Linked DNA regions of Ovis aries. The protein of the gene in region 2 purifies or fractionates together with the protein of the main gene of each other region. This does not show direct contact. Links are inferred from orthologs where the notes say so. Each region holds a gene or a part of one and is shown on either strand. Other genes may lie near its edges. The genes, in order: PPP2R1B and PTPDC1.

Region 1 (16,420 bases), on a different chromosome or scaffold from region 2:
AATCTTGAAAACTCTCACTTTACTTATTTTTATTACAGTGTGACTTAAATGTACAAATATAAAGTAAGAATATAATGATCTTTTATTTATAGTTCTTATATAACTAAAAATATCACAAGACTAATACCATTCAAATTAATATCATAGCAGTTTAACATGGCAGATGATGTATTTTGCTGAGATTAAATTATCCCTTGTATTGTGATTATGGTATTCCTGTGAAAGCTCAGCTTCTTTTGAGTTCAAAATACCTATACCACCAAGCAACCTATATTATCTCAATTTTCTTACCACTTTTCTGTTAGAACTGCTGTGACAATGCAGTCTATGATGTGGTCTGGCTTTCATTTTATGCATGGAAACACATTTTCATTTTAAATCCACCTCTGTTCCTTTCTCATGATCCCAGAATAGTTAAGGCACCACTAAGACATACATGCAAATACAAGTATTGAAATCCCAAGGCAATACCAGGTTATAAAGTGGTCATTCAAATAATCCAGAATGCCTAAATTAAGAATTACTGTTCAGATTCACTGGTTCCCATACTTACACTATGATCAAAAGCCTTATCTACTGTGTTTACTTCCAAGAATGCCATTTTTTTTTAAGTCCCCTAAATTAGATTCTTTTTTCGATGATCCAACGGATGTTGGCAATTTCACCTCTGGTTCCTCTGCCTTTTCTAAAACCAGCTTGAAAATCTGGAAGTTCATGGTGCACGTATTGCTGAAGCCTGTTTTGGAGAATTTTGAGCATTACTTTGCTAGCGTTTGAGATGAGTGCAATTGTGCGGTAGTTTAGGCATTCTTTGGCATTGCCTTTCTTTGGGATTGGAATGAAAACTGACCTTTTCCAGTCCTGTGTCAAATTTGCTGGCATATTGAGTGCAGCACTTTCACAGCATCATCTTTCAGGATTTGAAAGAGCTCAGCTGGAATGCCATCACCTCCACTAGCTTTGTTCGTAGTGATGTTTTCTAAGGCCCACTTGACTTCACATTCCAGGATGTCTGGCTCTAGGTGAGTGATCACACCATCATGATTATCTTGGTCGTGAAGATCTTTTTTGTACAGTTCTTCTGTGTATTCTTGCCACATCTTCTTAATATCTTCTGCTTCTGTTAGGTCCATACTATTTCTGTCCTTTATTGAGCCCATCTTTGCATGAAATGTTCCCTTGGTATCTCTAATTTTCTTGAAGAGATTCTAGTCTTTCCCATTCTGTTGTTTTCCTCTATTTCTTTGCATTGATCGCTGAAAGGCTTTCTTATCTCTTCTTGCTATTCTTTGCTATTCTCTGCATTCAGATGCTTATATCTTTTTCTTCTTTGCTTTTCGCTTCTCTTCTTTTCACAGTTATTGTAAGGCCTCCTCAGACAGCTATTTTGCTTTTTTGCATTTCTTTTCCACGGGGAGGGTCTTGATCCCTGTCTCCTGTACAATGTCACAAACCTCCGCCCGTAGTTCATCAGGCACTCTATCTATCAGATCTAGTCGGTTAAATCTATTTCTCACTTCCACTGTATAATCATAAGGGATTTGATTTAGGTCATACCAACCTAGATAGCATATTCAAAAGCAGAGACATTACTTTGCCGACTAAGGTCCGTCTAGTCAAGGCTATGGATTTTCCTGTGGTCATGTATGGATGTGAGAGTTGGATTGTGGAGAAGGCTGAGCCCCAAAGAATTGATGCTTTTGAACTGTGGTGTTGGAGAAGACTCTTGAGAGTCCCTTGGACTGCAAGGAGATCCAACCAGGCCATTCTGAAGATCAGCCCTGGGTGTTCTTTGGAAGGAATGATGCTAAAGCTGAATGGAACTCCAGTACTTTGGCCACCTCATGTGAAGAGTTGACTTATTGGAAAAGACTCTGATGCTGGGAGGGATTGGGGGCAGGAGGAGAAGGGGACGACAGTGGATGAGATGGCTGGATGGCATCACTGACTCGATGGACGTGAGTCTGAGTGAACTCCAGGAGTTGGTGATGGACAGGGAGGCCTGGCATGCTGCAAGTCATGGGGTCGCAAGGAGTCAGACATAACTGACCAACTGAACTGAGTTAAAATTAGGTTTATTGATAATTTTCCTTTTTTATTCATCAGACACATAAAACTACCATTTCAGAGCTTGTGATCACCACAGGTAGCTATCACTCTAAGTCGCTTATAGTCCAAAACAAAAAGACAGGACATTCTAGTTATTCTGTGCTGCCTGCACAAGGGTAAATGGAAACTTCCTACTAAACTTTGCAAGAACTCTTATACCTTTGGACCTCCTCCCACCGCTGCCTTTGAGGACTCTTGGAGTTCTAGAGAGGTCAGGTTAGCCTTTTTTGTACAAGCAAAGTAGCCGCTTCACCCAATTTGGAAGGATTAAAGCTTGTCCTAGTTTTGCTTGATTGTTGTACTTCTAGCATGCTAAAGACCTAAAAAATAAGAGAAAGAAAATACACAGAAGGCAGCATTCCAGTACCAAACTGAAAAGAAACACAACAAGAGAGCAGCATGTTTTTAACAGCTTGCATGGAGAAAGCGGAAAAAATATTGACTGGGGAGTTTGGATAGCACTGTTCATTTTCTCTCACCGCCCGCGGTATTTGTCTTAGGGAGCAGGAGCCAGATACAATTCTGGCGCACAGGCCGGAGGAAGGGGTGGAGGGGTTCTGTGGAAGCTTGTGGAAGCCTGAGGATATAGCGGGGGAAATTAGGGCTGGAGACCCAGATGGCTCCGGGCCAGGATGAAGTCGGGGGAGGGAGGCGCTAAGTCTTTTTTCCTCCTGGCCTCGAGCATCCTCTTGGTCCCCTGAGTCCTAAGAGGGCACAGCACACGTCACTCAGGTAGGTTTCCGACGCCTTCAGATCAGCACGAGCAGGATGAATCCCTGTCCCTATTTCTTTCTCCTGGGAAAAGGACACGGGGGCTCCTTTCGCCTTCTAAGCCCATCTGTGTTTTGGAGTTCAGACCTACAGCTCCGGAAAAGGGGACCGGGCGGGGGTCCCCACCTGCTCTGCAGGCACTCAGTTCCCGGACTCCCGCTCCCGCCGAGCCCAGGCCTTAGCCCCGCCTATCAGGGCGCGGGGCGGGGCCAGGGCGCGGGGCGGGGCCAGGGCGCGCTGCGGGCGGCGGTAACCCGGCGGAGGAGGAAGAACATGGCGGGTGTGGCGGGGCCTGCCACCGGCTCGGGGGCCGCCGGCGGAGATGGAGACGATTCGCTCTACCCCATCGCGGTCTTAATCGACGAGCTTCGCAATGAGGACGTGCAGGTATTGGAGTCGCGCCCGGCAGCGGACGCGGGCTTGGCTGGGCGCGTGGTAGGGAAGGGGGCCAGCCGGCCCCCGAGGTTGGGGGAGGCCCGGGGATTGAAAGCCGGGACTCTGAGCGGAAACTTGACGGGGAGGAGAGGAGAGACACATGAGGGACCCGTGAGGACCCGGCGGCCCCGGAGCCTGCCCCGCACGCCTTGTTCTGACCCGCTGAGGCGGCGGCCCGGAGTCCCACCTGGTCCTGGGTGCTTGTGGGGGAACCGGCTTGCCGCCCGGGCGCCCTTTTTGGGCCTGGCGGTGAGGACGCCGCGTCCAGCCCGGGGCTGGCAGCGCCCGTAGCGGGGCGAGCGGGAGGCGGGCGGCGCGGGGCCGCGAGGGGCTGCGGGACGCCGAGGCGCCCTGTGAAATGCAGGGGAATGACTGCCTTCCTCGCGGCCTGCTGGAAACTGGCCCGGCTTGAGTGGAAATTAGAAATTAGGTGGGGTGGCTAAAGTAACCGAGGCGGGATGTCAGCTCTGATGGAACTTTTCTTTGAAAAGCCTGGGGTGGTACTCAGCCATCTCACCTGCTTTACCACTGCTACAGTTCTCTTTTTAAAATTGTCTCGCTTTTCCAGATATTGTATTTTCTTTCATTTCTTTAATGGGCCCGTCAGAGGGTTTCTCCTGAGAAATCTTACTTTAGCTAAAGAAGGCGTGTTCCCTTGTTTTTGAGGTTCCTCATAGAATAAAGTGTAAATTAAAGGTTTTTTCCCCTTCTTATCTGTATGCCATTACCTCACCTGTTTGCAGCTACTCTCTTTTGGTCTAAATCACAAGTGCTTCTTAACTTCATTCTTCTTTCTACCTTTTTTTTTGTTTTTTGTTTTTTTTTAAAGCTCCGTCTCAATAGTATTAAGAAATTATCAACAATTGCTCTAGCGCTTGGAGTAGAAAGGACACGAACTGAACTGCTGCCATTTCTTACAGGTATGTGACTCTTTGAGGAAAGGCCTGGGCATTTCTGTTTTCCAATGGCTTTCGAAACTTGGACTATTTTGAATTTGTTGCCCATAGTATTAGTAAGTACTAAACTGAGCCTGTTGTTTCTACTGTGAAGAAACAGGGCAGAGCATACATTGTAATGTTGTGGCCAGACATATTCAGATATTAACTATTTAGCTAATAGAAAAGTAATTGATATGTAATTATGAATTTCTAGTTACTTCTGTAAAACAAATCCATGAAGACACGTGATTGAGAAGGAGGAAAAGGCGGTTAGGATGGCGGCAGATCGTCTACTTACATATGGAGTCTCTTCCTAGTTTTGTATGAGTGTCCAGCTTTGGGCCAGCTATCCTTGTTGATGAATACTGGGTTCTTGTCATTTCCAGATACAATTTATGATGAAGATGAGGTACTGTTAGCTCTTGCTGAGCAGCTGGGAAATTTCACTGGCCTGGTGGGAGGTCCTGACTTTGCCCACTGTTTGCTGGTGAGTATATTCTGCCTGCTCTCCTTCTAGAACTTTTGCAGTATAAATAGTACATTGTTTGGTGATAGGCACAGTGCAGCATTTTTTTATGCAGATCTTTTTAGGGATAGTCACAGTGTTAGCTATTGAGAGAACAAATAATGTAGGCATTTTGGACTCAACCTTTCTTAATTTTTCTGGTTGTGAATGTGGGAACTTTCTCTTCTCTGACTTGTTACTTTAGCAGTTAGGAGAAAAAGGACTGGATTGTTTCTGTTCATGGTTTTTTTTCCCTCTTATGGTGGAAATCTTAATTCTCATCTAACAATGCTGTGGCTTTGGAAATGTTTATTAGTTTTGTCTTTAATTTTAAGTGTAGCTTTTGATTCTGACTTCCTTTGTGAATTTCATTTGAGAACCTTCTATATCAGTCACTGAAGTTACAATGTTCATGTTAAAGGTGAGCACCAGGGTTTGGGAGTGTAATAAGGCCTCTGTCCTTTTGTGTCAACAAGTAATTACTATGTGTTAGATGGAAAAATTTGAAGCACATGAAAGAGAAAGGGATTAACCCGGGGTGATAGGGGAAGATCTCTTTGGGAGAGAATGTCTGAACTGGGGTGTGAAAGATGACTAGGAATTTGACAGCTGCACAGGATGATGGGGTTGTATGCTTCAAGGCTTCAGTATTGGCTGTATTATATTGCTGACTCTCATGACTTCTGTCTTTACCTCTGACCTTTCCATGGAGCTCCAGATATAGATATATGTAGAAAGATATAAATATCTGTGTTATATATATCTGCTGTGGTTTTTCTACTTGGGTGTGAAACAGGCATTTCAAATTTAGTTTGTCTAAAACAGAATGCAGTTTTTTCCCCAAAGTGTATCCTAATTAGTTGTCCCATTGCAGTAAATGGCATCACCATCTACCCAGTTAGTTGCGCAGCCAAAACCTGGGAGACATTCTTGAATCTGTTTCCCCTCACTTCCCACATCAAATCCGTCAGTCACTCCTGTAGATTCTGCATGTATTGCAAATCAGTTCTCTTTCTTCCATCTCTACTACCACTTAGCTCATCTTTCCACTGGTCTTTCTAGACCACGTGGTCTTTCCTCTAGATTATTGCAGTAATCTAGTTGCTTTCCACTCATGCCTTCTGCCCCACCACTCCAGTTCACTCTTCACCCAGAGATGGATCACTCACTCCCTTCCATGGTTCTTAGAAAATTCATAATTTCTACCTTAGTTTGAACCTTAGTTTATAAAATTTGCCCCTATGAGCCTATCTCATATCATATTCCCTCTTAATAACCTCATTCCATTCACAATAGTCTTCCTTCTATTCTTTGAATATACCAAGCTTACTGCCCTGGATAGTCCCTATAATAACATGTGTTTTTGAGCTTCTTGTGACTGGCTCCTTATCATTTAGATGCCAGCTTTAATGCGTCTCAGCAATGCCTTCCCTGGCCTCTCAACCTGAAATTTCTTCCCCACTCATCCCTTACCACATCATCCTTGTTTTTACCCCCTCTTTGACTGCACCACATAGCTTGTGGAATCTTAGTTCCCCAACCAGCGGTTGAACCCTGGTCCTCAGCAGTGAAAGCACAGAGTCCTAACCATTGGGCCACCAAGGAATTCCCCCTGTTCTCTTTACAGAGCATTCAACACCATCTAGTTATTGCCCTGATGAGTTGTTATCTTTCTCCATTAGAATATAAAACTGTATTCAATGTCCTGTGATAAAGCGATAATGGAAAAGAAATATATGTATAACTGAATCAGTTTGCTGTGCAGCAGAAATTAACATTGTAAGACCACTGTACTTGAATAAGTAAATCTTTAAAAAATTAAGAAAAGTCAAAAGACACCCCCCCTCCTAAAAGTAAACTAGCGCAAAGAAATCATGGCCTTATTTCTTCCCTCTCCACAGTGCTAGAATTTAAAAGTAATTATCATTTTAAAAGAAAGAGTTTAGGAGCCTTGGAAGTGTGAAACTGGTTGATTGCAGTATAAAGTGTTGGTGCTAGAGTAGGCGGAAGTGGTGGTCCCAGGGCTGTGGGAAAAGGTCATGGAGAAATAGGCCAAGTTTTAATCAAGAGACAGGAGCTTGCTCTTCCGTAGTAGTGATAGAGATTATCAATGATACTGCATGAGAGGAGGTCAGAGAAGGCAGTGGACAGAACTCGAAAGGCCTTTGCTTTTAAGAAAACAGTATCTTTTCAGAGGGCTTCTGAAATTTCCCTTAGGAAAGCTGAGTACCTTATATCAAATAATTTTTGAAATGTATTATGTAGACTCCCTTGTTTCCTTTGACTCATAATTCTGTTTCACTCTCCTGGTCAGTTCTACATGTGGCTTTTGTCTTTAACATTGGCACTTCATGCTCTATCCTGAATCTGCCCGGACTGAGTGCAAACCCAGAAGAGCAGCAGTTCAGAGAATCTGCCCTCTGTACTTTTCCCTGGTCTGTGCCCTGCTCACTCACTGATCCTAGTCAGGGCCAACCCCTTTGGTCTCTACTGTTTCTAAAGCTGCAGGCAAGGATTCCTACTGTCTCTGTACCTTTAACTTAATTGTTCTTTCATAACGTCCCACTCTGTGTCTGGCTCATGGAAAAATTCTGGGTGTATTCGGAGAAAAGTAATTTTGCACTCAGCCTTTAATAGTTTGGAAAAGTCAGTGGTGCGGAGTGAATTGACAGAGGTAGCTTCCACCTCCAGGAACGGTAGAATGATACTCCAGACGCCGTGGACTCGGTGTCCTGATGCGGGGTTCTCCTGTAATTGTGGTGCCCCGTGGTGGTCATGTTTCTGCACTCACTTTTGAGGAAGTACACATGGTTCTGTCGAATTTGGCTACACAGCCTTTAAATTGAGTGATTCAGTTCACAGTGATATTAATATCGTGTCAGGTCTCTTCTACCATGTCATTCATAGACACCATCTGGGAATTGCCATCTGGGACAGGAAACCTTGGCTGTCCTACAGAAATCGTGTCTTCAGGTTGGACACAGCATATGCCATCACCGTGTGAACTGAGAGTAACTGTTTGGTGTGATGTAGCTAACATTCTGGTTGCTTGTCCCACCTCCTTTCAGTCACTTTAAAAGATGATAATCTGTATCTAACCTGATTGAGTAAGTTTTCTCTGGTTTTCCATTTTGGTCTATCCAGCCTCCTCTGGAAAGCCTGGCAACTGTGGAAGAGACTGTGGTTCGAGACAAGGCTGTGGAGTCCCTGAGGCAGATCTCGCAGGAGCACACGCCAGTGGCTCTGGAGGCTCACTTCGTACCTCTGGTGAAACGCTTAGCGAGTGGGGATTGGTTCACCTCTCGCACATCCGCATGTGGTTTGTTCAGCGTTTGCTATCCCAGGGCTTCCATTGCTGTCAAAGGAGAAATTAGACAGTAAGATATGGTATTTTTTAGTTATTTGGGGTTATTGGAAGCTCACAGCTGACAGGATACACACTACCCTGTTACCAGTGAGTGGCTGGTATCAGGGTAGTCAGATCGATGACAACAGTTACCAATGTCCAGGTGAAGGTACCAGTGGGTTTTCCTTTGTTACTTCTGTGAGTAGAAGTCTAATGCCTGATGTTCGTAGGAGAAAACCTCTGAAATTTCTGTATGTGTTGGGGGGATGCTTAATCAGTGGCATGTAACAGGAAATACCTTCATTATTTTGCTGCAGGTACTTCCGTTCCTTGTGCTCAGACGACACACCAATGGTACGCCGTGCTGCTGCTTCCAAATTGGGTGAATTTGCAAAAGTTTTGGAATTAGACAGTGTGAAAAGTGAAATCGTTCCTTTGTTTACTAATCTAGCTTCAGATGAACAGGTAGGTTAACTCTTAGTAATTAAAGTACACAAATATGCGCTTACATTTGAAGAATTTCTTTGGATGTTTTGGTTCTCATGTTAGTATCATTTTTTTTCAGAATTATTACTTAATTCTGGCCTGGCTAAAGTTTAAGATTACCCATCCCAGTGTCCTTATAGTTCTTTCTTAGCCAAACTGTGATTTCCTTTTCCATTTAGCATCTGTTGAAGGGGAGTTGAGGAATTGGGAGCCATAATTAGGAAGGAAGACCAAAGCCACATTAAAGAGTAGCTATACCTTTGGGTACTGCAGGCTGAGTTATTGTGGGACAGTAATGTTTCCTGGAATTTTGGCATTCAGGTAAACAAGCATAGCATGTATTGGGAAGGCTCTTTGACCCTCTGCATCCTCTCTATGAGTGTATGGGATAACTTTGTATGAGGGCAGTTATAAATCCAAGAATCTCCATCTCATCAGTGTAGAAATTAGCAATAATAATGGGTTTCCCTGGTGACTCAGTGCTAGTAAAGAATCCATCTGCCAATGCAGGAGACGCGGGTTCAATCCTTGGTTTGGGAAGATCCTCCGGAGAAGGAAATGGCAACCCCCTTCAGTGTTCATTCTTGCCTGGGAAATCTCACTGGAGAGGGGACTGGCAGGCTACAGTCCATGGGGTGGCGGAAGAGTCAGACATGACTTAGCGACTAAATAACAGCAAAAAGCAATAATAATATGCTAGTAAGCACCCAAATGAATCTTTTTCAGCCTGTTTTAAGTGGTTTACATATGTGAAGTAATTCAGCCCTTACAACAGCCCCAATTGGAAACAGGCACAGGAAATTGGAGTAAGTTGCTCATGGTTGCATAGTGAGCAGTGTTGGAGTGCAGACTTGAGTCTAGGCAGCTTAGCTCCAGAGTTGTGACCTTCATTGCTGAGCTGTAGTGCTCTTCTTATGGTGCTTTGGAGAATCAGCGCCCTGAGTTCCTGGACGCTAGAAGAACAGTTTACCTAGTTCTGCCCTCAGATCACTGTATGTTTACAGGATCCAGAGCAGCAGATACATACCTTGAGTCTCATGTTCAGATTCTAGATTTGAAGATGATAAATCTTTCAAAATAATTTTTTAAATTTGTTAAAATAATATATACAAAGCAGTACAAAGTGAATATGCATCTTAAGTAATACAAGGCATGTTATCCTGTAACTTTCGTCTGTGAAAGGATACAGAACTTTGATAGCCATTATCCAGGAAGCCCAGCATGATCTGCCTCCCAAACACACTCCCCTCCCAGTTCCTACTCCCTACCCCCTTAAGACTGTAACACTGTTTCTTGATTTTTGTGGTAACCACCTCCTTACTTTTCTTTGCATTTTTACTATTCATAAAGTATGGTTTAAAACAACACCATCTAACAGAAATACAATGTAAGCTACCTGTTAATTTTAAGTTTCACAGTAGCCATAGTTTAAAAAGTGAAAAGCAGGTGAAATTGATTTCAATAATGTATTTTATTAACCCAGTATATCCAGAGTAACTACCATTAGAATGTGTGGCGCTAGTTGTGTTTCAGGCGCTCAGAAGTAGGGAGTAAGTAGGATAATGGTTGTCACATTGGAGAGCACAGGTTTAGAATCCTTATTTGAGATTTTGTTGATTACATTTCCCATGGTATAACGCAATGTTTTCTTTTGTCCTGCAAAATTGGTAGTTGAATCTAGAGTGGAGATTTGTGAATTTTTTCTGTAAAGGGCCCGATAGTAAATATTTTAGGCTTTGTGGACCAGACAGTCTCTGTTGTAACTACAGAGCTCTGCTGTTGTGTGCCACACACTGTCATATGCAGACTAACGGGCATGGTGCTGTTCTGGGAAAATTTTATTTACAGAAACTAGCTGCTTTCCATATTTGGCCAATATCTGCCTCAGCCCTGATCTAGAGGCTTAATGAGAGCTGATTTGATATTTTGGGGGCAGTAAGATCACTTTGTTAGATGGAGGCTGCTTTTCATCAAGAGGCATGTCTTGTTGTGGTATTAACAGCAATGGATGCTGAAAGAATTATTTGTTTAGTTGTAACGTGTGTGTGTATTCACTGTGACCACTGATAGAATTGCTGCTCCTTTCTTAGTCATTCACTGAGAAAGTATTTATTGAGTACATTCTGTGAATCAGGCACTATTCTTCATGCTGGCTTTCAGTGTTAAATGAGGGACCGTGCTGTTGTGCCCTTTATATTTTAATGAAAGAAAGCACAGTAAACAGATAAAATATTAGGGATCAAAACGATGATGGAGGGACTTCCCTGGTGGCTGGGAACCTGCCTTGTAATGCAGGGGACATAGATTTGATCCTTGGTCAAGGAACTAAGATCCAGCATGCTTGGATCAGCTGTGGAGCAGCTAAGCCTTCCTACCACAGCTGCTATGCCCTTGTGCTACAACTAGAGAGTTGGTGCGCTGTATCAAAAGATCCTACATGCTGCAGCTAAGACCCCAGTGCAGCCAAATAAACGTAAAAACTGTTGGGAATTGGATAGGGTACCATAGTGGTGGGGCGTGAATATAAGCATTCTTTTAGACTGGCCAGTCAGAGAACGGCCATGAAGAGGTGCCATAAACTGAAACTTGAACAGAAAAATGCCGGCGACGCCCTTTCCACGTGTGTCAGAGCTCTAGGAAAAGAGAATTCCAAGAGGAGAGGACATTCAGTGTATGTAAAGATCCTGTGCTTGGAGCATAGTGGGTGAAAAGGACTCTGATAAGAATTTGGATAAGATAATCGGCTACCCACTCCAGTATTCTGTCCTGGAGAATCCCATGGACTGTACAGTCTGTGGGGTTGCAAAGAGTTGGACACGACTGAGCGACTTTCACTTTTCAATCAGGGCCCAGATTGTGGGGGACCTTTAAACAGTGTGTTGAGTTTGGGTTTTCTTTTCTAGGTATAATGAGAACACACCAAGATTTTAATCAGGGATGTAATTTTATGTAACTTAAAATTTTAAAAGATTGTTCTGGCTTGTAGGTGGAAAACTAAATTGTAAGGTGAGGGGTGAGAATAGAAACACGAAGACAAGTTAGGCGACTTTTACAATAATCCTGACAAGAGACAGTGGTAAACTAGGGTGGCATGGTGAAGATGGAAAGAATCTGGTGATCGGTTTGGAGGTGGTCAGTAGAACTGTGATTGAGTTGGAAGAAAGGAAGAGACATCAAGATTTCTTGATTTTACTTGAGAAATTGGGTGGATACTGCTGTCACTGCCAAGATGGAGAAGATTCTGGGAGGAGTAGCAGATACAGGGAAGAAAATCGGGAGTTGTGGGAGAAGAGTAGTTGATTAGTTGAAAAAGTATTGATGGGTGTGTGTATTTACATCGATGAAAGTAGCTCCTTGATTCAGCATAGTTTTTGGAATCTGAAAATAGCTGTATGACCAGTACCAAAGATAAAGTTTTGCCTTTTTTAGCCTGTTCATTTAGATAGGGTAGTGAGTATCTTGGGCATGTAGTAGGTCATTGTTGATCTATAATTTTTAAAATGTATAATATTTTGGAAAGCTGGAGGTACTGTTGCCTCTTGTGTGCTTGCGTGTGCACAGGTACACACGTATAAGTATGTTACATACTTTTACGGTTTTTGACGTTTCATCTGGGGGCTCAGATGTTTATGTATTTCCACTTCCTACTAATATATTTATGATTCCCCAATCTATAGTCTCAATTCCTGATTTTTCATTGATCTATCTATTTGTATATTACTACTTTTACAAAGGATATATAGATAGTAGGTTGGTACTTGGCAGGTTACATTTGGGAAATTGAGTTCATTAATCCCTTTCTAATTTTTTCTGCTGGGTTTTCTAGGGTTGGCTATCTCAAAAGTTATTCTGTCCTTGATCATCGGCATTTAAATTTAATGTTTTTTAAAAATTACTTAAAATTTTTGTTTTTCTGTGTATTTTTCCAAGTCATTATCTCATGCCTAAACTCGAATTATTGCCATTCCTTACCCTTATCCCCTTTCTATTCCTCTGTTCTGATCTTCTATAAACAACTGGTACAAGCATGGTTTTCATTTTTAATGCTCAGCTTCCTAGAGTGAGGATTTAGAGACATCATTAAAATGTTCTTGCCTCACATAATCTTTACATTTTTATTTCATTTTCCTTACTAAAAATTCTGTGTTCTAACTAACGTCGTTAACTTTGCTGTTCACTCAGAGAACAGTCATTTCTGCCTTGCCATTTCAGGCAAAGGGAACAGCTATTTCAAGACATAAAGACATGAACTGCTTATAATGTTGTTTTTTTTTTTTTTTTAAGGACACCCAAGCACTACCACAACCGCACACTGCCTCATGGCTCTCAGTAAATACTGTCTAACAGAAAGGAATTTTGTTCATTAGGATTCAGTGCGCCTGCTAGCTGTGGAAGCCTGTGTCAGTATTGCCCAGTTACTGTCTCAGGATGACATTGAGGCTTTGGTGATGCCTACACTTCGACAAGCAGCAGAAGATAAATCTTGGCGAGTTCGCTATATGGTAGCTGACAAATTTTCAGAGGTAAAGTAGTGCACTGACATTTTTTAAGTACTAAAAGGAAGAAAACCCTCAGAAACCCACAGATTTGCTGTCATAACCAAAAGTTTCTGAATTGGAAGTGCCTGAGGCAAAAATATACATAGACCTTCCTTGACTCATGATAGGGTTATGTCCTGAGAAACCCACTTCAGTTGGAAGTGCATTTAATGGACCTAACCTGCGAACGGCATAGCTTAGCCTCGCCTACTTTAAACTTTTAAAGGACACTTACATTAGCCTACAGTTGGGCAGAATACTCTAACAGAAAACCTGTTTTATAATAAAATGTGGAATAGCTCACGTAATTTATTCAATACTGGTACTTAAAGTGAAAAACAGAGTGGTTTTAAGTGTATCGGTTGTTCCCCGTTGTGATTCCATGGTTGACGGGAAGCTCTGGCCTCCCCACTCTGCCCAGCATCACAGGGGGTAGTGCTACATAGCACTAGCCCAGCAAAGGATCAAAATTCAAAACGTGAAATTTGGTTTCTAGTCAACGTGTATTGCTTTCACAACATCCTAAAGTTGAAGAATCTTCAGTTGAACGATCATAAGTTGGGGACTGTCTATACTTGATGATTGCATTGTGCTTGTTAAGTTATTTTGATTAGAGTGCATTAAAACCTGTACAAATTCTTTTATAGCTCCAGAAAGCTGTGGGTCCCAAAATCACCCTAAATGACCTCATCCCCGCCTTTCAGAACCTACTCAAAGACTGTGAAGCTGAAGTCCGAGCAGCTGCTGCCCATAAAGTAAAAGGTTAAGGTGTCAGTTTATGTTGTAACTAGATCACTTTGGTGCATTTTTTTATGTCAGTGAATTTTGTATTTTTTTTTTTTTTGGTCTTACAGATTATGTTTTCAGAAAAATAGTGATGATTTTAATGTGTTGAGATGTTAACATTGTCACATAAAGCTACTCCCTTATTTATTTAAAACCAAATAGCTTCTGTTTAAAAAAAAAGTATCCAATCCAGATTGGATTGGTGTGGTACACAGTGGCATATAGATTGACCAAAAGGTGCATTTAAAAGCAGCCATTTTTCTTCCTTGGAACTTATTTGCTTAAACATATGATTTGATTTAACTTGAAACTTGATAAATCTGGTTAAATTTCTTCATTTGGCTCCTTGTAAATGGCTCTACATAAGCATTTTTTTTTTCTCTTTGTATATTTTAGAACTTTGTGAGAACTTGCCTATGGAAGGTAGAGAGACCATGATTATGAATCAAATTCTGCCTTATATAAAGGTAAACCTAACTTTAGTTTATTTTTTGTTACACTTTGCCCTGTGTGAAGGTAAACCTGACCTCAATTTTTGTTTGTATTACTTTAAAGCTCTTTGAATTTAAACGTGGACCAGGGATGAATGGGACAGTTATATTAATGTGTGACACTGTTATTTATTACTTATTAATATTTTGTAAGTGCAAAATGCTCTTTTTTGCATAGGTTTATTTTATCTGACAGATGGTCTGAGGAAACTATTGACTAATCAGTATTGAAAGAGCGCTATCTTTTAAAATTCCTTGAGAAGTCATTTGGAAGTTTCTGTTGTCTTGCAAAAAAACTAAAGGCTTTTAATTTTGACTTTATTCTAGGAATTAGTGTCTGATACAAATCAACATGTCAAGTCGGCTCTAGCTTCTGTAATTATGGGGTTGTCTACCATTTTGGGCAAAGAGAATACCATTGAACATCTTCTACCTCTCTTTTTAGCTCAGTTAAAGGATGAGGTGAGTCTGGCTGTAAATTTTGTTGTCCTTTGATAGTCGGTGATTTGGTTTGGTTTTTGTTTGGGGTGTCACTGAAAAAGTAACTTATTTTAAACCATTGATGGCATTTGGGCACGGAGTTACAAGTTCCTGAGAAAATGGGCCACTGATACAGACGTAAAAATGGCTGTCCATCTTCTCTGCCTAATTCCTGATTATATTCACTGTTTTTTTCTTATCTTTAAACTTAATGGATCTTTATTTGAAAAGTTTCATTTAAATTTAGATATAATATTATAAAAATTATCTTGTTTGCCAGGCATGATCATCAGTGCTTTGCATGTGTTATTATTATGTGTAATTTTCACAGCAATCTTATTTTTGAGGGTTGGTCTTACTATTATTCCCATTTTACAGACGAAGAAGGTGAGGCACAGACGTAAAATAAGCCGCCTGAAGTTTCAGCTGGGTCGATATGGGATTTGAATACATGTAATTTGATTTCATAGCTTATGTGCTCTTTACATTTCATAGACTTTTCATTGAGAGTTTTAAGTCAATTAAATTGTGCAGTTTGAATTATTTATGTACTCAGTATTAAGTATTTCTTCCAAGACAATAGTTTTTTCATGCAAGTCAACACTTTCTCATTTTAAAATGTATTTGCTCATCATGGTGGTAGGAGAATATTGATCAGAGAACTTGATCTTTATATGTGCTGTTTTGGGTCTTGTGTATTTGCAGTGTCCTGAAGTTCGTTTGAACATCATCTCCAATTTGGACTGTGTAAATGAAGTGATTGGGATCCGGCAGCTCTCCCAGTCACTCCTCCCTGCCATAGTGGAGCTGGCTGAAGATGCCAAATGGAGGGTCCGGCTGGCCATCATCGAGTATATGCCACTGTTGGCGGGCCAGCTGGTGAGTGTGGGCGCTCTTGTGAGCTGAAGGATAGCATCACGTAGTGGAGCAGACTCCCCAGGGCCAGCAGGAGGCCCACATGGCTCATGTGGTTATGTTCATTTAGAGGCATGAGAAAGTATGGTCTCTGTCAGTTGCCTGTAGAGTGGTTTTCATTTTCATCAGTGCATTTGCATCTAACAAAAATGTATTATAAAAACACATTTCACCTCCCCACCATCTGAAAGCAAAGCCACAGAAGAATATATAATTTCTTGGTATATGTCACATAGATTTTGTGATACTTAATGACTCTGTGGCTTAAGGAATATTTATCTGAGAAGAAAGGGGAGTATGGTTTTGAGATTTGACTTTTGCTCAGGGAAGCTTCCCTCTCTGCCTGTACTCTGAGCAAATGTCTCTGGTTACCACTTTTCTTGCATTCTGGTTAAAGGGAGTTGAGGACTCCCCATATGAAAAAGGAGTATTGAAGTTTGTAATGCTGATATTTTGGCCAGAGTTTGTATTATCACATTATCTGTTACTGTTTGAGATTTATGAATAGTTTTATTGAAAACAAGTTAATTAAAATTTCAGTGCTGGGTTTTATAGCCACATCCTTTCCTTTCTCTTATAGCAGGTACCCTAGTCAGTTCTGAGTTTGGTGTGATGTGCCC
Region 2 (16,420 bases):
TTCCTCCTCACCACCGAGTCAGCCATGAAGAAAATAGAAGACAACAACACACTGGTATCCATTGTGGATGTCAGGGCCAACAAACACCAAATTAAACAGGCTGTGAAGAAGCTCTATCCCATTGACATGGCTAAGGTCAATACCCTGATCAGGCCTGATGGAGAGGAGAAGGCATATGTTCGACTGGCTCCTGACTATGATGTTTTGGATGTTGCCAACACAATTGGGATCATCTAAACTGAGTCCAGCTGGCTAATTCCAAATATAAAAGTTTTCACTATGAAAAAAAAAAACACACACACACACACAACTAGACAAAAAGAAGATGTGGTACAATGAATATTACTTGGCTATAAAAAAGAATGAAATAATGCCATCTACAGCAACATGGAGGGACTTAGAGATTGCCATACTGAATGAAATAAGTCAGATAAAGAAAGACAGGTGTTATATGAAGTCAGATAGAAAAAGACAGGTATCATTGCTTATATGTGGAATCTTTAAAAATGGTACAAATGAACTTATTTACAGAACAGGGGATCTTCCTGGCTTAGAGATCGAACCTGCATCTCTTACATCTCCCACATTGGCAGGCAGATTCCTTACCACTAGCACCACCTGGGAAGCCCCTGTGTATTTATGGAAGGAGGGCTGTTAGGAGGAGCCCTGTGTTGTTGGATTAGAATTGCTAACAGCTGCATGAACTCTCAGTTTTCAACATAAATGCATGCATATATAAATATGGATGTAAATGTGTGGTGTATGTGTGTGTATACGTGTATATATTGTACGCATTCTTTAGTTCTATCCACTGAGAATGCCTGCAGGCAACAACTCTTTAACTGTAGTGACCACACGTAGCATCTGGGCTTGGTTTCTAAATATCATTTTTCACCATAAACACCAGAACTTATTAGATCTAATTATGAGGAAGCAGACACACCCAAATTGAGGAAATGTTCTACAAAATAACTGGTCTGTACTCTTCAAAAGCCAAAGGTATCGATATCAAGGAAGGACTGAGGAACTTGTTCTAAAGTGAAATAAATGAGAAGACAACTAAAAGTGTGTGATTCTAAACGTTGTGTAGTATGATTTTACTATAAAGAACATTGAGATAAATCAGTGGAACTTGTATGAGGTCTAAGAAATAGTGGGCAACTAATAATATACAATTATAATTTTCTGATTTGGGGGAATTTTGGAGAATTTTTTGTGGGAAATATACACTAACTTATTTAGAGTAATAGAGCAGCATATCTGCAGCTTATTCTCAAATGATTCAAGAAAAAAAATTTTTGTATTATACATAAAACTTTTCTATAAGTTTGAGATTGCATCAAAAAGTAAAATCCTTTCCAAATATTTTTAAAATTAAAACTAAATTGTTCAACTCTGTTGAATGTGTGCTAAAAAGTAAAAATAAGACAACTATAAAAAGGACCATCAGAGACCTTCAGTTCAGTTCAGTTCAGTCGCTCAGTCGTGTCCAACTCTTTGCGACCCCATAAATCGCAGCACACCAGGCCTCCCTGTCCATCACCATCTCCTGGAGTTCACTCAGACTCACGTCCATCGAGTCCATGATGCCATCCAGCCATCTCGTCCTCTGTCGTCCCCTTCTCCTCCTGCCCCCAATCCCTCCCAGCATCAGAGTCTTTTCCAATGAGTCAACCCTTCGCATGAGGTGGCCAAAGTACTGGAGCTTCAGCTTTAGCATCATTCCATCCAAAGAAACCCCAGGGCTGATCTCCTTCAGAATGGACTGGTTGGATCTCCTTGCAGTCCAAGGGACTCTCAAGAGTCTTCTCCAACACCACAGTTCAAAAGCATCAATTCTTCGGCGCTCAGCTTTCTTCACAGTCCAACTCTCACATCTATACATGACCACAGGAAAAACCATAGTCTTGACTAGACGGACCTTAGTCAGCAAAGTAATGTCTCTGCTTTTGAATATACTATCTAGGTTGGTCATAACTTTCCTTCCAAGGAGTAAGCATCTTTTAATTTCATGGCTGCAGTCACCATCTGCAGTGATTTTGGAGCCCCAAAAAATAAAGTCTGACACTGTTTCCCCATCTATTTCCCATGAAGTGATGGGACCAGATGCCATGATCTTCGTTTTCTGAATGTTGAGCTTTAAGCCAACTTTTTCACTCTCCACTTTCACTTTCATCAAGAGGCTTTTTAGTTCCTCTTCACTTTCTGCCATAAAGGTGGTGTCATCTGCATATCTGAGGTTATTGATATTTCTCCCGGCAATCTTGATTCCAGCTTGTGTTTCTTCCAGCCCAGCGTTCCTCATGATGTACTCTGCATATAAGTTAAATAAGCAGGGTGACGATATACGGCCTTGACGTACTCCTTTTCCTATTTGGAAGCAATCTGTTGTTCCATGTCCAGTTCCAACTGTTGCTTCCTGGCCTGCATATAGATTTCTCAAGAGGCAGGTTAGGTGGTCTGGTATTCCCATCTCTTTCATAATTTTCCACAGTTTCTTGTGATCCACACAGTCAAAGGCTTGGGCATAGTCAGTAAAGCAGAAATAGATGTTTTTCTGGAACTCTCTTGCTTTTTCCATGATCCAGCAGAAGTTGACAATTTGATCTCTGGCTCCTCTGCCTTTTCTAAAACCAGCTTGAACATCAGGGAGTTCACAGTTCACATATTGCTGAAGCCTGGCTTGGAGAATTTTGAGCATTACTTTACTAGCGTGTGAGATGAGTGCAATTGTGCAGTAGTTTGAGCATTCTTTTGCATTGCCTTTCTTTGGAATTGGAATGAAAACTGACCTTTTCCAGGCCTGTGGCCATGAAACAGATCACAAATGAAAATAGCAAATGAAGTCAAATTTTCTTTTTAGAAGTTTATCTGTAAAGGGAAGAAGGCAGGGGTTGGGGGACTCTCTGAAGAAAATGAATTATAGTGAAGGATCTGGAAGCAATGACTATTAATGTTTGTAAAAATTAAGATTTGCAATGGGGGAGTCTTGGAGAGGTTCTGTCTTCAGATATTTGAAAACCTTGCAAGTCAGAGAGATGCTTTATTTTTCATTTTTAACTTCCCTGATAGCTCAGTTGGTAAAGAATCTGCCTGCAATGCAGGAGACACTGGTTCAATTCCTGGTTCAGGAAGATCCCCTGGAGAAGGAATAGGCTACCCACTCCAGTGTCCTGGCCTGAAGAATTCCATGGACTGTACAGTCTGTGGGGTTGCAAAGAGTCGGACACGACTGAGCGACTTTCGCTTTCAAAGGGAGGAACCAGGACCAATGTTTACAGAGAAATGGATTTTGACTCAACAGTAGGAAGCATCTTGAGCTGTCAAACAGTTGAATAGTTAATTTCCTTGTGAGAAATGAGTCTCATGTCACAAAAAGTGGAAAAAAGAGGAGCTAAAAAGTCAGTGTTCTAGTCTAGCTCCTGGAAATGACTGCTTTATTGACTTAGGACTGAGACTACATAGACATGTGACTAAATGGACATGAGACTCTATGGACATGTGTATGAGCAAGCTCCAGGAGATGATGAAGGACAGGGAAGCTTGGCGTGCTGCAGTCTGTGGGGTTGCAAAGGGTCGGACATGACTGAGCGGCTGAACAAGAACAACAACAGCCTATCTCTGTGGTTGTCAGAAAAAAAGTTTTTTTAGCTTTTAGATGTCTATTGAAAATATGGCCCTTCATAAAATTACTCTTGCTTTAAAACACTTCCATTTTATATAAAACATGAAAAATACTAGAAATTAAGTAGTCTTGTTGCTCCTTTTAAGAAAAAGGCTTCATTTTTTTTCCAATTGCTAATTTAAATAAATATTAAAATGTTAGTCTGAACAATTCATCATTAGCAATCTATATGATTCATCCCAATTTAAAATTTTTAATTGATTTTTAGGATGTAATACAAAGTCTTACAGAGGTGTGAAACAAAAAGTATGAGTATTAGTAACTAAATTGATCCACAAAATGAATAAAATAACTATTTTTTAAAATAATACAAAAAAGAGAGACCAATTTGTACTAATTTGGTACAAGTTCTAACATGTTTTATTCCATGAATTAGAAGATAATCCCTTTAAAGTCATGGCATGATTGCTTTTTGGCAACATTCTATGAATGAAAACATGGTTATGTGGAGATATGGATTTCTGAGGTCACGGAGGTTGGCAAAATAGCTTATCAGGGACAGCATCTCTTGATCTTTATTTTAATGCTGTGTTCCTCTCTGACTTCAGGAAAAACCTGTGATTTGCTATAAAATATTACTCCTTTCCACTTGTATAAAGTTAGTTGTTCAAACATGTAAAGTCAAGTAAATAAAAATATGAGCCTTGCACACCAGTCATATCATCTCTGGTTTAATGAAGGAAAAAATAGAAGTAAAAAATTTTAATCCTGAAAATATATAATACCTTATTTTTAAACAATATAATAATAGCCTAAATAGTCAACAGCTAAAGAATGACTAGGTAAATTATAATGCATCAAAATCTTGTGCATCCACTAAATGAAAATAAGACTAAAGCAAAATGGGAAGGTGTTGGCTATGCTGCTTAGTAAAAGCAGGGGAAATTATTTGCAATTATGACTACAAATAAATAGAAAATCTACGTGCCTGTGGACAAATATTGAAAGGAAGATGAGTTTAGGGGTGGAATGAAAGGTACTCTTCCCTATTGTAACATCGTTTGGCATAAATAAAAACTGATTTTTAAAGGTGGATTTGGCTATGAATTGGGCATTTTTAAAGGAGTAGTTTGGAGCATGCAGTAGTGAGGTTGACAGTTCTGACATGTCTTGGGGAATGGAGGCCTCTGCTCTGTCTGTCGTGCCCACAGGTGGGTAGCACTCCAGTTCAGCACCAGACAGTGCCAGTGTATCCCAGCACCCCTGGGTGCCCCAGGTGAGTGAGCAAGGCAAGAATATGCTGAGAGGGAGGGCTGCAGTCACCTTTTGGATTCCTGTTTGCTTTCACTCTACTTTACTGAAAGCCCAAACTCAGTGTCCCTGTCTGGTAACTCAGCCCACTAAGTGGTTGCATATTTATTTGAGGCCAGACCAGTTCTTAAGATTTCACAGCAGAAATTATTCCTGAGATGATAGAAAAATCTTCCCTTCCTTAGCTTGGTCCAGACAAGTCCTATCCTCATCAAATTCATTCTCATTTTCAGAACTGTTGAGCGCAGAGTCACTTGGACTCTCATGTCCTTAGAGCTGCACAGATCAGGCATTTCCTGCTCACTGGTTGAGGCCTCCTAGTTGCTGCCTCACATGCATTTTCATCTCAGATGGAGATTGCCTGCTGGGTTTTCTATGGCACCTTCTCGTTATGGACTGCATATTTACTGACTTAATTGTCTTGTTGCTGCTCGCTTAGACTTGAAGTCTTGGCATGCAGTGCAGTGTCCGCCCCTATACTATCTTGCTCCCACACTTACTGTCACTGTCCCAGCAGGCCCTCAGTCCTTGACTTCAATCCCTGTCTTTGCAGGGAGTGTTAACCCTGAGAAACTTGAGTCAGACTCCTGTTCCCCAACAGCAGACTCAGACTCCTTATTTTGAGCATTTAGGGCCTCTTGACATCAGGTTCCAGCATGCTTTCCTCACCACATCCTCTGTACTTTCCTTTCCTTTAAAACTGTGGAAGCTGTGCCTTCTGAATAGACTACATTAGAAGAAATTCTTTTTCATTGCTGTTTACAAAATGACAGGGGCAGGATGCTACACTCAAATTTAGACACCAAGTTGAGCTGCTGTATCTTATTTGACAAAACATATCCATTTGGAGAAATGGGGATGTGTTTTAAAAGGAGCAAGTTTTAAAGCATTATTAATTATTAAAATAGAACAGAACAAAGCAAAGAGCCCTATCTGTGACAATAGTTTGTTTCCATCTGCACATGGCCAGAATACCATTTGGAGAAACAGAAAGAGAAAAAGACACGGGGTGGGGTGAGGGTGTTGCAGTTTGACATTAACAAGAGAGGAGGCGGACAATGGGTGGTTGTTAACAATTTCTGTGTTCTTTATATCCTTTATCCTCAAGTTGCAACCTCCCCCTCATCCAGTTCCTTTAAAAAATGTGATACTTAGTGGATTTTCTTCCTGTGTCTCTGCCAAGACATTATTGAAGCTTCTCTTTCCCCTTAGTCAGCAACAAAAGACACAGAAGCATGTCTTTTGAGTTTTTGAGGGCTGTAGTTATGACTGCTGTAACTATCCAATAACCAAGAATTGGATTTTCACATTCTGAAAATAGAAATATGAAAATAAATGTCTTTGGTTAGTATACCAGCCCTCAAGATGTCTTTATTTCTTCTCTCCAAGCATTTCTTAAGTTGTTCTATAAAATAATAGAGGGTTTCGGGCTTCCAAGGTGGCCCACTGAAAGTCTACCTTTAGTGCAGGAGATGCGAGTTCAGTCCCTGGGTCGGGAAGATTCCCTGGAGATGGAAATAGCAATGCACTCCAGTATTCTTGCCTGGGAAATCCCATGGACAGAGGAGCCTGGCAGGCTATAGTCCATGAGACTGTGAAAGTGTCAGATATGATTTAGCAACTAAACAAAAAATAGAGGGATTTTTGGCTTTGAAAAATGATGTTTTAATAATGTTAGAGGTATCTAATATGTCCCACTTTATTACAACTAACTTTTTATCTGCCCTGTTCCAGAGAGGAGTAGAAAGAGAATATTTTTCAAAATATTCAGAGAATAGATAAGAAAGGAAGAACAAAATTTTGGTATTTTAATAATGTGTGTGTTTGCATCATAAAGACATTTTTCTAAATTCATTACAATATTTTAGATATAATTCTCTGAGCAGTCAGATCTTTTTGACGGTATTTGAGAAACAGTAGAAAAGTCACATTTTAGGTATAATCTATTTAAAATACATGTTATTCTTCCCTGTATTCGAACAATCTGTTCAAAACACAATCCATTCATAAGGGATTTTGCTTGTACAGATCTGAGTGGGAATCAGTACTTTCTTTGTTTGTCACTATGGAAACAAGTCAGCCTATCCTGAACAGCAGTTAGATCACGCAGAGTGATGCTCACATCTCAGTGTAACTTCATCATGGAGCAGGCTGGCGCTGACATCTCGCCTCCAGCTCTTCCCTCCTGGAAGCCCAGCACCATGCAGGATCCACCCCGGAGGCTCTCTGCTGTGCCATTCCTCAGCTCCTTTTTCGAGGGTCGTCGCCACTCTGCCTCTGACCCTATCCTGCGGCTGCAGCAGGGGCGGCGCAGCTCTGCTGCCAAGGTGCTGTCCTCGTCCTCTCTCCAGGTGATGGTGGCCATGTCCTCTGTCAGCTGTGCTGAGAGAAACCCAACTTGCCCCGAGAGAAAAAGTAAAGCTCCTTTTCTTCTTAAAGATTGACACACTTTTGAGTTTAAATACAGTGATTGTGAAGAAGCTATGCTGTGTTTATACCTTTTAAAATTTTGAGAATTCTGTGTTATACTTTCTATTGTCTGTTATGCTAAGAGATTCAGTAGACATGTAATAGATAAAAATGATTGAATGTTTTATGTTTTTTTTCATTAAAAATGTAGTTCTTGTGTAAAACTCATTTCTTTGTAGAAGATCTGCTGTAACAGTTTGTTCCTTTTCATTACCAGTACCCCATATGGAGATTCTTGTGTGCAAGGGCCTTTTCCGAAGTAAAGGATAGTGCACTTATATGAAAGGGAAACAGTTTTATTCCTGACAAAATGAAGGGGATTTAGCACCAACTTGTCATGCAATCCTGAGAGAAATTGGAAGCTCTTTCCCTTGTTACTATTCCATTTGGGGAGCAGGACTTTAAATCTTCCCTTCTTCGTCTATTCTAGGAAATTCAGGACGTCCAACGCCAAAATATACAAAAGTTGGAGAGCGTTTGCGGCATGTCATTCCTGGACATGTGGCCTGTTCTGTGGCATGTGGTGGCAAAGCTTGCAAGTATGAAAATGCAGCTCGCTGGAGTGAACAGGAACAAGCTGTTAAAGGGGTCTACTCGTCCTGGTAAGTGATTCTGTCAGTCTTTGATAGCTCCCACCTACTGCTAAGTAGGAAAAGGAAATGGAGTTGTAGGTGATGGCCAGAGGCAGTAGCCTGTAGAAGAAAGAATGTGGGATTTTGAAGTAAGAGGGCCTCACCTTCCATGCTTGGCTTTCCCTCTTGACCATCTGGCCTACTCACAGGCACTCTGAACCGCAGTTTCCTCATCTGTAAAATGGAAATAATGAAACCAACCCTATAGGATTATTTGTTTTTAATAAAGTAGAATGTTGTAGGTAAAGTATCTTAAAGAATTGGTAACTAGATAGATTTTAAATTTCATAGACTGCTAGAAACAATTAAAATATTCAGCTATAAATTTGAGAAATTATGAGGCATATAGGTAGTTTTTCACTTTCATGTAGGTGAACTTTAGCCTCATTTTTATTTTGTTCCTGTACTCTGTATAAAAGGATACATTTTCATACAAATACATACACTTCCAGTCTGCCTCAGTAGAGGGTGGTATAAGTTGTCAGTTCAGTAGATGATGTAAAATGCTTTCATTGTTTATGGTATGTAAGTGTAATTCATTATTGAATCATGCTGTTTTTATTATTATTAGCAAATTGTCAAGTATACCTTTTTTGATATAGTGATATCTTTGAAAAATTCTGATATTTAAAACCATATTTGGAATGCACTAAGAAGAATTCAATATTTAAATAACTCTGCTGGTGAAGCATTTTATAGAGTAAGAATCCATGTACAAATCAGATATTTGTCAGCCAGTTTACTAACCTCCAGCCCTGTACTTTTTCACATTGGATTTGTTGGGTACATGTGTAGTGTTATAGTCTGGGGTCCACTGTCATTACCTTCATCACTACCTTTCTTAAAGAGTGTCATGAAAAAGCAAACACTACTCCTGAGATGTGGCCAGACACATAAATTTATAATAATGCAGCTTAAGGTCACATTAACATTTCTGGTTTATTGTTGACTAAACTCTCTTGTTTTCACCTCTGCTGCTTTCACATTACATCTCTCCTAATCTTACACTAAGTGCTATTACATTTGGGGGATCCCAAACCTTCGTGGTTCCCTGTTTTTAGATATTGCCCCAGTCATGAGAGATGGTATCTTTCTGAATCCTGACCTGCTCATCTGATGTCTCTATTACTCCTCTCAGGTTCTTGTAACCCACAACTTGTGACAGTCTATCTTAGGTATCTTTCACCAGACCACTGGTGAGAAATTTGATCAGAACAGAGGGAAGTTAGAGCCCTAGTGAGAATGACAGCCATTTACTGGGCCTCTGTCCATTTGTACACTCAGTAAACATCCATTTGGTTACAGGCCAGTCACAGTGCTAGACATTTTCAAATTATTGTGGTCATAAAACCCTTTTAAGTAGGCATTGTTAGTGTCATCTTATTGATAAGGAATTGAAGTCCAGAGAGACTAAGTAATTTGCCACACAGCTGGAAAATAGAAAAGCCAGCATTTGAAACCAGGCCTGACTGACTCCAAAGTGATTTTTTTTTTCTAAATCATAATAACTCAGCATTTATTCATAACCACATGCCAGGATTTATGCTAAAAGACTTTATAGTCACATCATATTGAATTCTCACACGAACCCTATGAGGCAGGCGTTATTACCCTCACTCAACACATTAGATAACTGAGGTATAGATGACTAAAGTAACTAAAAATGCTTCCCAGCTGGCCCTCCTTATTTAGTCAGTAACCTCTGGATAACTAATCCAGGATGTTACTTTTGCTGCATGGAGCTGAGGTTTCTCCATCATTCTGTCATGGCCGCTAGAATCTCATGAAAGTCCTTGAAGATACTTTGCTGGAGCCCATAAATACATTATGTTCTGGAATTGTTTCCAGGGATTTAAGAAGTGAGGGTTTCGTATAGCCCTAATCATAATACAGAATTGAAGCCAGATTTGTATAAGGAGATTCTTATCTTACAGTATTGTTGAAATCAGAGAAAAAGTAAGGGCTTGAAATCTTACTTTCTCAGTTCTGTGCATTTCATCAGTCCCTTCTCCCATCTGTAGGGTCACTGATAATATCCTGGCCATGGCACGCCCATCCACTGAGGTCCTGGAGAAGTTCTGTATCATTGAGCAGTTCCGAAGGTAAATGTCACATGTTTAGACACTGTAATAAGCCAGCTTATGTCTTCTTTTCCACTGCTTTTGACTTAAAATAGAAAAGTCCCTTCATTTTACCAACAGAAATGTGAGGAACTTATCTCAAGTAAGATAAAGTTTTAAGAGTAATGTTTATTAATACCAAAAATGGTTATTTTTTGTTAACACTACCTCCCCAATATGACTAATTTTCTTCTTTTTCCTTTAAGCCATGGGATAAAAAGTATCATTAACCTGCAGCGTCCTGGTGAGCATGCCAGCTGTGGGAACCCTCTGGAACAAGAAAGTGGCTTCACATATCTTCCTGAAGCTTTCATGGAGGCTGGCAGTAAGTCTTTCCAACCTCCTTTCCATACGTTACCAAGGACAGAACTCAGAGACTTTTGTCTGCTCAGTTCTTAGGTTAAAAAGGTGATGGAAACAAAGTTCATGCACAGTAGTAGGGCTTCTGGAAAGTGAAGATGAGATAACTTTGTCTTTAAATATCTTATTTAGTATTGGTGTTGAAAGTACAGAATTTCTTTTTTCCTGTGAGAGAGATCTTGAGAGGAGATCTTGTAGAAATAATACCTGCATAATTAACATAAACAGTATGTCAGACCTATCATCTTATTTAATCCTTAAAGCATTCGTGTAATGTAGTTGTTCTGAGACTTCCCTGATGGTCCAGTGGCTAAGACTGTGCTCCCAATGCAGGGGGCCTGGGTTCCATCTCTGGTCAGGGAAGTAGATCCCACATGCTGCAACCAAGACCCAGCACAGCCAAATAAATAAATGAACGTTTAACTATATATATATATATATATATATAGAGAGAGAGAGAGAGAGAGTTGTTGTTCTGCTTCACATATGAGATCACACAGACTGAGGAAGTTCTGACTTGCCCAGGATTTACACAACTTAAACATAGCAACAAGATTAAAACCCAGGACTTATTTGTGCTTTTTCCTACCGCATAGCTCTACCCAGTGGGTAGGATGTGGGGATTCTGTATGTGACAAGTCCAGAAGCTATCAGTCACAGGAGCTTTAGCATAGAATCCCCTGAACATGTGTCATTCACACCAAGCTAGAAAGGATCAACCTGTGCCACTTCTACAACTTGAAGTTCATGCTAGCTTTTTATCCCACTAGTTAGAAAAATCTGTATGTGCCACCTCATGTCATTTATCAGTCAGTCAGACATGTTTCAGTGCTTAAACAAGGTTGCATGCTTTCCCTCCATGGTAGAGTAATTTTGGCATAGGTCATCAACTTTAATTTATAATCCTGCTTTTCATTAATTATTTCTGAGTTTCAGCAGGAAATGTGTTAAATAACACAGAACATGCTTTTTAAGAAATGCTAACAGTAAATTTACTGGAAATGGGAAAAGCCTGTTATTTTAGGTCTACACATCCAGTGAGATCTGCGTGTTTTACAGCTGTATACTTTTCATGACTTCACTCAGTTTTTTCAAATGTCTTTGCAAGTATTTCTCCTATATGTTGATTTCTTCTTGTTCTTTCTCATTGTCCAGTTTATTTCTACAACTTTGGATGGAAGGATTATGGTGTAGCGTCCCTTACCACCATCTTAGATATGGTGAAGGTGATGACATTTGCCTTACAAGAAGGAAAAGTAGCTATCCATTGTCATGCAGGGCTTGGTCGAACAGGTAAATTCTAGGGGGTGGTTTTATTGCCTTTCTGTGTATTTAAACATATAAGGAAAAACATTTCCTAGTTCTTAAGGATAGTTTTCAGATTCCTATCGAAGGTTTGGAGTCAAATGGAGCAAGTCAATAAAAGATACTTGAAATATCTTAAATAGATAGTTTCAGTGACCATATATCCATGAGAGTATTTTTTGAATGATTTAGAGTTAAAACTGCATCATATTGAAAAATAGGTGGGTTTCCATAGCTAGCTGAATGACCTTTCTGATTTTCTTCTTTCAAGGAAAAAAGTCAATACTTTTGTTTTTAATACATAAGTCTTTTTAAAATTTTATCTTCATTAACCAAAATAATAATGGAAATAGCAAGCATTGTTTCATCCAATAATCTTTTTAAGTTGTTAGCAACACTGTAAGTTTTGAAGGAGGTTAATTTGCTGTATCTAAAGTGACAGGACCATGATTTAAAGCCACTGCTATAAGGATTTTGTTTGTAGAGTCTTAACTGTGCCTAAGTTCTGTATAAAAATCAATGATTTTACTTTAAAATGCAGCAGAATATCAGTGCAATGCCAAACCTAGGGCACAAAAAGGATGGAATCTTCATTGGTCATCTAAGCCAGCCCCCAGACACCAGAGTTTGACTCTGTTTACAATGTACCCATGTACTTACCGCTGGCCTTCCCACTTACTGGGGAGGGGGATGGGGACGTAGTTCTGCTTCAGATTGTCAGCTCTCATGGTTGAGCCAAGATCTCACTGTTCTAGGGATTCCATGTGATAGTTTTGCAGACATATCATACTTGCCCTAAAGAACTGCCTTATCCTAGTGAGAAAGATATGTTGGACCTTATGTCATACTAGGAAACCAGGCATTTTTCAGAGGTTCTGATTTTCGTGTGTAATGAGATTCAGAAACTTCATGAATCACACAGATGTCTTTTGATTTGCCTTTTACTTGATGTTAATTAACTGTTGTATTTAAATTAATTTATCACCTTTTTATTATTCATTTCAGTTTAGTATTAATGATAGTACATAATTTTTACACTGTTAATGTGGTCTTCCTTACTATTAAGTACTTATAGAAAAGTATCTGTGGTCTGGAGGAAAATATATATTAGTTTAGGCATTAGTTTATTCTTAAAGAAGAAACTTCAAGAGAGGAAATAGATTGTGAAAATGAATAGTCGCCAAAAATAAAAACACCCAAGTGGGAAAAATGCAGGTCTGGAATGTGCCACCAATTGATGTCAAAGCTGAAAGGGCTGGGAAGTTCCAAGCAGAACGTATGGAGTGATTGAATAGAAATTTTTAAGGACTGTTCAGAGTGGAAAGCAGTATTGGCTTTCTTCCATGTTGGAGTTGGGCATAATGAGGATAAATGAACCAGGTCATCAGTTCATTCAGTCATTGCCCTCCACACTCAGCCATCCTTCCTTACTCCACACCTGCTCAGGTTCACTGTGACAGTACTTGTGCTTGCCCTGTGGTACAGAGGTGACCAAGGGTTCTAAGTCAAGGGGAGGGTTACCATAGAGACAAGTAAATAGGTGAACCCGTGTACCAAAAGTTTAAGTTATCATTGTTCTTAAAATGTTCCTATATATATATGGTTTCCTAATACATATTCAAATTTTAAAATCATCAAAGAGTATAACTAAAAATATAAATTTTTCTCATACCAATCTTCATTTCTTCATTGTTTAGGTGTTTTAATAGCATGTTACTTAGTTTTTGCAACAAGAATGACTGCTGACCAAGCAATTATATTTGTTCGGGCAAAGCGACCTAATTCCATACAAACTCGAGGACAGCTACTCTGTGTAAGGGAATTTACTCAGTTTCTGATTCCTCTTCGCAATATATTCTCTTGCTGTGACCCCAAGGCACATGCTGTCACCCTAGCACAGTATCTCATTCGTCAGCGGCATCTGCTTCACGGATATGAGGCACGACTTCTGAAACACATACCCAAAATTATCCACCTCGTTTGCAAATTGCTGCTGGACTTAGCTGAGAACAGGCCAGTGGTGACAGAAGAAGTGGCCGACATACCTGGCCTCTCAGCTGAAATTGAAAAGACTGTTTCTGAGATGATCACAAGGCAGCTGGATAAGGAGTTACTGAGACATGACAGTGATGCATCAGACACTTTCACCCCCAATGCAGTGGTGATGGATTTTGAGAATCAGGATGTGGTTCTTTCCAGTGAGCAAGAGTTGGACCCTCTTTGGAAGAGGCGGAATGTCGAGTGTCTTCAGCCCCTGGCTCATCTGAAAAGGCAGCTCAGCTACAGTGACTCAGATTTAAAAAGGCCCGATTCGCTTCTGGAGCAAGGGAGGACTCCATGGACAGTGCCTGCCCAAGCCTTGCTTTGCCATAATCCCAGGCAGCAGAAGCACATAAGCCGTTGTTACTACCCACAGTCTCCACAACTAGATTTAAGTAAGGAAACGCTGGTCCGCAATACATATTCTTTCTGGAATCACACTAAATTTGGAGTCCCAGAGGGACTCAAAGATGATGGGTCATCAATTTTCCATAGGACGAGCATTCCAAAGGAAGTACAGAGAAGTAGAACCTTCTCTTCAGGAATTTCAGGTTCATACAACCCTGGGGAACCAGTCGCACCAAACTTTGCAAATATTCCTAAGGGACCAAACTGTTCTCAACAGAAAGTGTACCACTGTGAGTGTGAAAGTCACGGTGGTCGTGGCCTAAGCTCTGTTGCAGAGGATGGTGAGACTTGCCGCCGCCCTGTGGACTGTGGGTCCAGTCCCAAAGCACAGTTCTTGGGGAATGAAACTCAGAACAGCAAATACCTGTGTGAAGTTGCTGCACATATGGCTTTACAGTCTGAGTTGAGTGTTGAAGCAAGGAGAATACTGGCAGCCAAAGCCCTGGCAAATTTAAATGAGATTGCAGAAAAGGAGGAAGTGAAAAAGAAGGTAGAAATGTGGCAGGTATTTGTATTTCATTTAATTATTTATGAGTAGGAAATATTTTTGTCAGAGCAAAAGTAAAACACTTTCCCAAGTTCATTTGTTTTCAGGAATTTGAAGACATTTTGGTATAATACATAACTTTTGAATGTCAAGTTACTCAACCGTAATACCAAATTGCTGTCATTGAAACAACAGACACAGGTCTCTTGTATAGGTTCATTTCAGTCTCTGTGAAAGAAAGCACTTAGTGCTCAGCAGTCATCAGTGTGCTTGACTGATCATGGCAATGATAGTGATTGATGACAATAGTTTCCTTCTTCCTTGCTGGGCCTGTGGGACTGATGGCCAGATGGATAGACAGCTGTAGGAACTGACCTGAAGCATCTCTAACCTGAGCCCTAGCAGGGAACCACACTTGGAGAACCCCGAGCTGAGAGAGAAAATGAAATAGAGACAATTCTTTCCCAAAGCTCATTAACCCAAGTATCAAGTAAGGACAGAAAGATGAGTGATGAGTGCTGACTGCTCAGCAATCCCTCCCCAGCCCACCAAACAAGGCAGGTGTTGGATTCCGGAAAGCAAATGGGAGTGGCCACAGAGCCCCTGTGTCCACTAGTTTTATCTGAGATTGAGTTCCTGAGTTCTATTTCTTGGCTTTTACTTAAATTAGAATGTGACATTTTAAACTTTAACATCGTTTTGTGTTGTACTTTTATGAGGGAGATGCCTAAAATCATGCTCTCTGCCTAGAATGAGCAGCTGATTAGAGAGAAGACAAGCCTTATAAACCTAGTTATGGTAAACTGCCCAAATGTAGGGCTGACCTGGGGAGGCCTGGCTCAGTGATATTTTGGCTTGTTAGCCCATAATGTACCATGAATTATTTGTAGCTGCTTTTCCATCTCCTACCACGAATCAAGCAAGGTGTGTACACTTTCCAGGAGGTCAGGCCTTCCAGATGCAGAGGCAAGAAGAGGAGGCATGGAGCCTGCCTTCACTTACAACTGTTTGACAGGAGGAGAGCACTTCCACACATGATTTTTTCATCAGAATTGTAGTGTTTTGCTTAATCAATAGTTAAACGTATTGCTGTCTTCCAACATGAAATATTTTTCTTAATTTCGTACTCCAAGCTGAACAAACATTCACTCAGTAGGCGGGTCTCCTCCGCCTAACTGAGCCACAGTAGCTAGCGGCAGGACCTCCAGTTTCAGGCTCGACAGCTCACGACCCCACCGTAGGTCTGCCCCACATGACCAAACAAACAGTTTGAACACATAATATATACAAAAGCATTTTCTAGATGTAGATACAACTCTATCCTTTGGATAGGTTTGCCTTTTTTCCTTTCTGGATTTTATTGTGGGTCTTTCAGTAATAAAGAAAATCAGTTGAATTCTGTGTATCCCTAAGGCCCTTTCACATTGTTTCATGTGATTTTCACAGTAATCCTGTGAGACAGATGATACTATTTACAAATTCTTTGTTAACCTTTCAGTACTTACAAACTAAGTATCACAGGTGAGAAAACTCAGAGAGGTCAAGTGATGTGCTTGAGGTCACGTGGTCTGAATGTAGCAGAGCCAGGGTACAGTTAATGTGTTTAATACTTTTCATCATCCCTGATGTTTTTCCTAGCCCCACTGGAAATTTTCAGAAAACA

Evidence for each region.
Region 1: the proteins of PTPDC1 (region 2) and PPP2R1B purify together in Homo sapiens (affinity purification with mass spectrometry; 3 studies listed by BioGRID and IntAct, counting the BioPlex papers as one, with this or other methods). This does not show direct contact. The link is inferred for Ovis aries from reciprocal best matches to the Homo sapiens genes PTPDC1 and PPP2R1B.

The regions. Positions count from the first base shown.
Region 1 is NC_056068.1:21,766,080-21,782,499, reverse strand, and holds the start of PPP2R1B (serine/threonine-protein phosphatase 2A 65 kDa regulatory subunit A beta isoform), read left to right. Parts: upstream 1-3,136; 5' UTR 3,137-3,153; coding exon 3,154-3,267; intron 3,268-4,144; coding exon 4,145-4,235; intron 4,236-4,639; coding exon 4,640-4,740; intron 4,741-7,902; coding exon 7,903-8,135; intron 8,136-8,421; coding exon 8,422-8,569; intron 8,570-12,957; coding exon 12,958-13,113; intron 13,114-13,775; coding exon 13,776-13,890; intron 13,891-14,310; coding exon 14,311-14,381; intron 14,382-14,732; coding exon 14,733-14,867; intron 14,868-15,590; coding exon 15,591-15,764; intron 15,765-16,420. UniProt on the Homo sapiens protein: The PR65 subunit of protein phosphatase 2A serves as a scaffolding molecule to coordinate the assembly of the catalytic subunit and a variable regulatory B subunit.
Region 2 is NC_056055.1:27,518,380-27,534,799, reverse strand, and holds part of PTPDC1 (protein tyrosine phosphatase domain-containing protein 1), read left to right. Parts: 5' UTR 1-7,050; coding exon 7,051-7,351; exon of another isoform or gene 7,352-7,569; intron 7,570-7,835; coding exon 7,836-8,007; intron 8,008-10,058; coding exon 10,059-10,139; intron 10,140-10,363; coding exon 10,364-10,482; intron 10,483-11,672; coding exon 11,673-11,810; intron 11,811-13,519; coding exon 13,520-14,775; intron 14,776-16,420. UniProt on the Homo sapiens protein: May play roles in cilia formation and/or maintenance.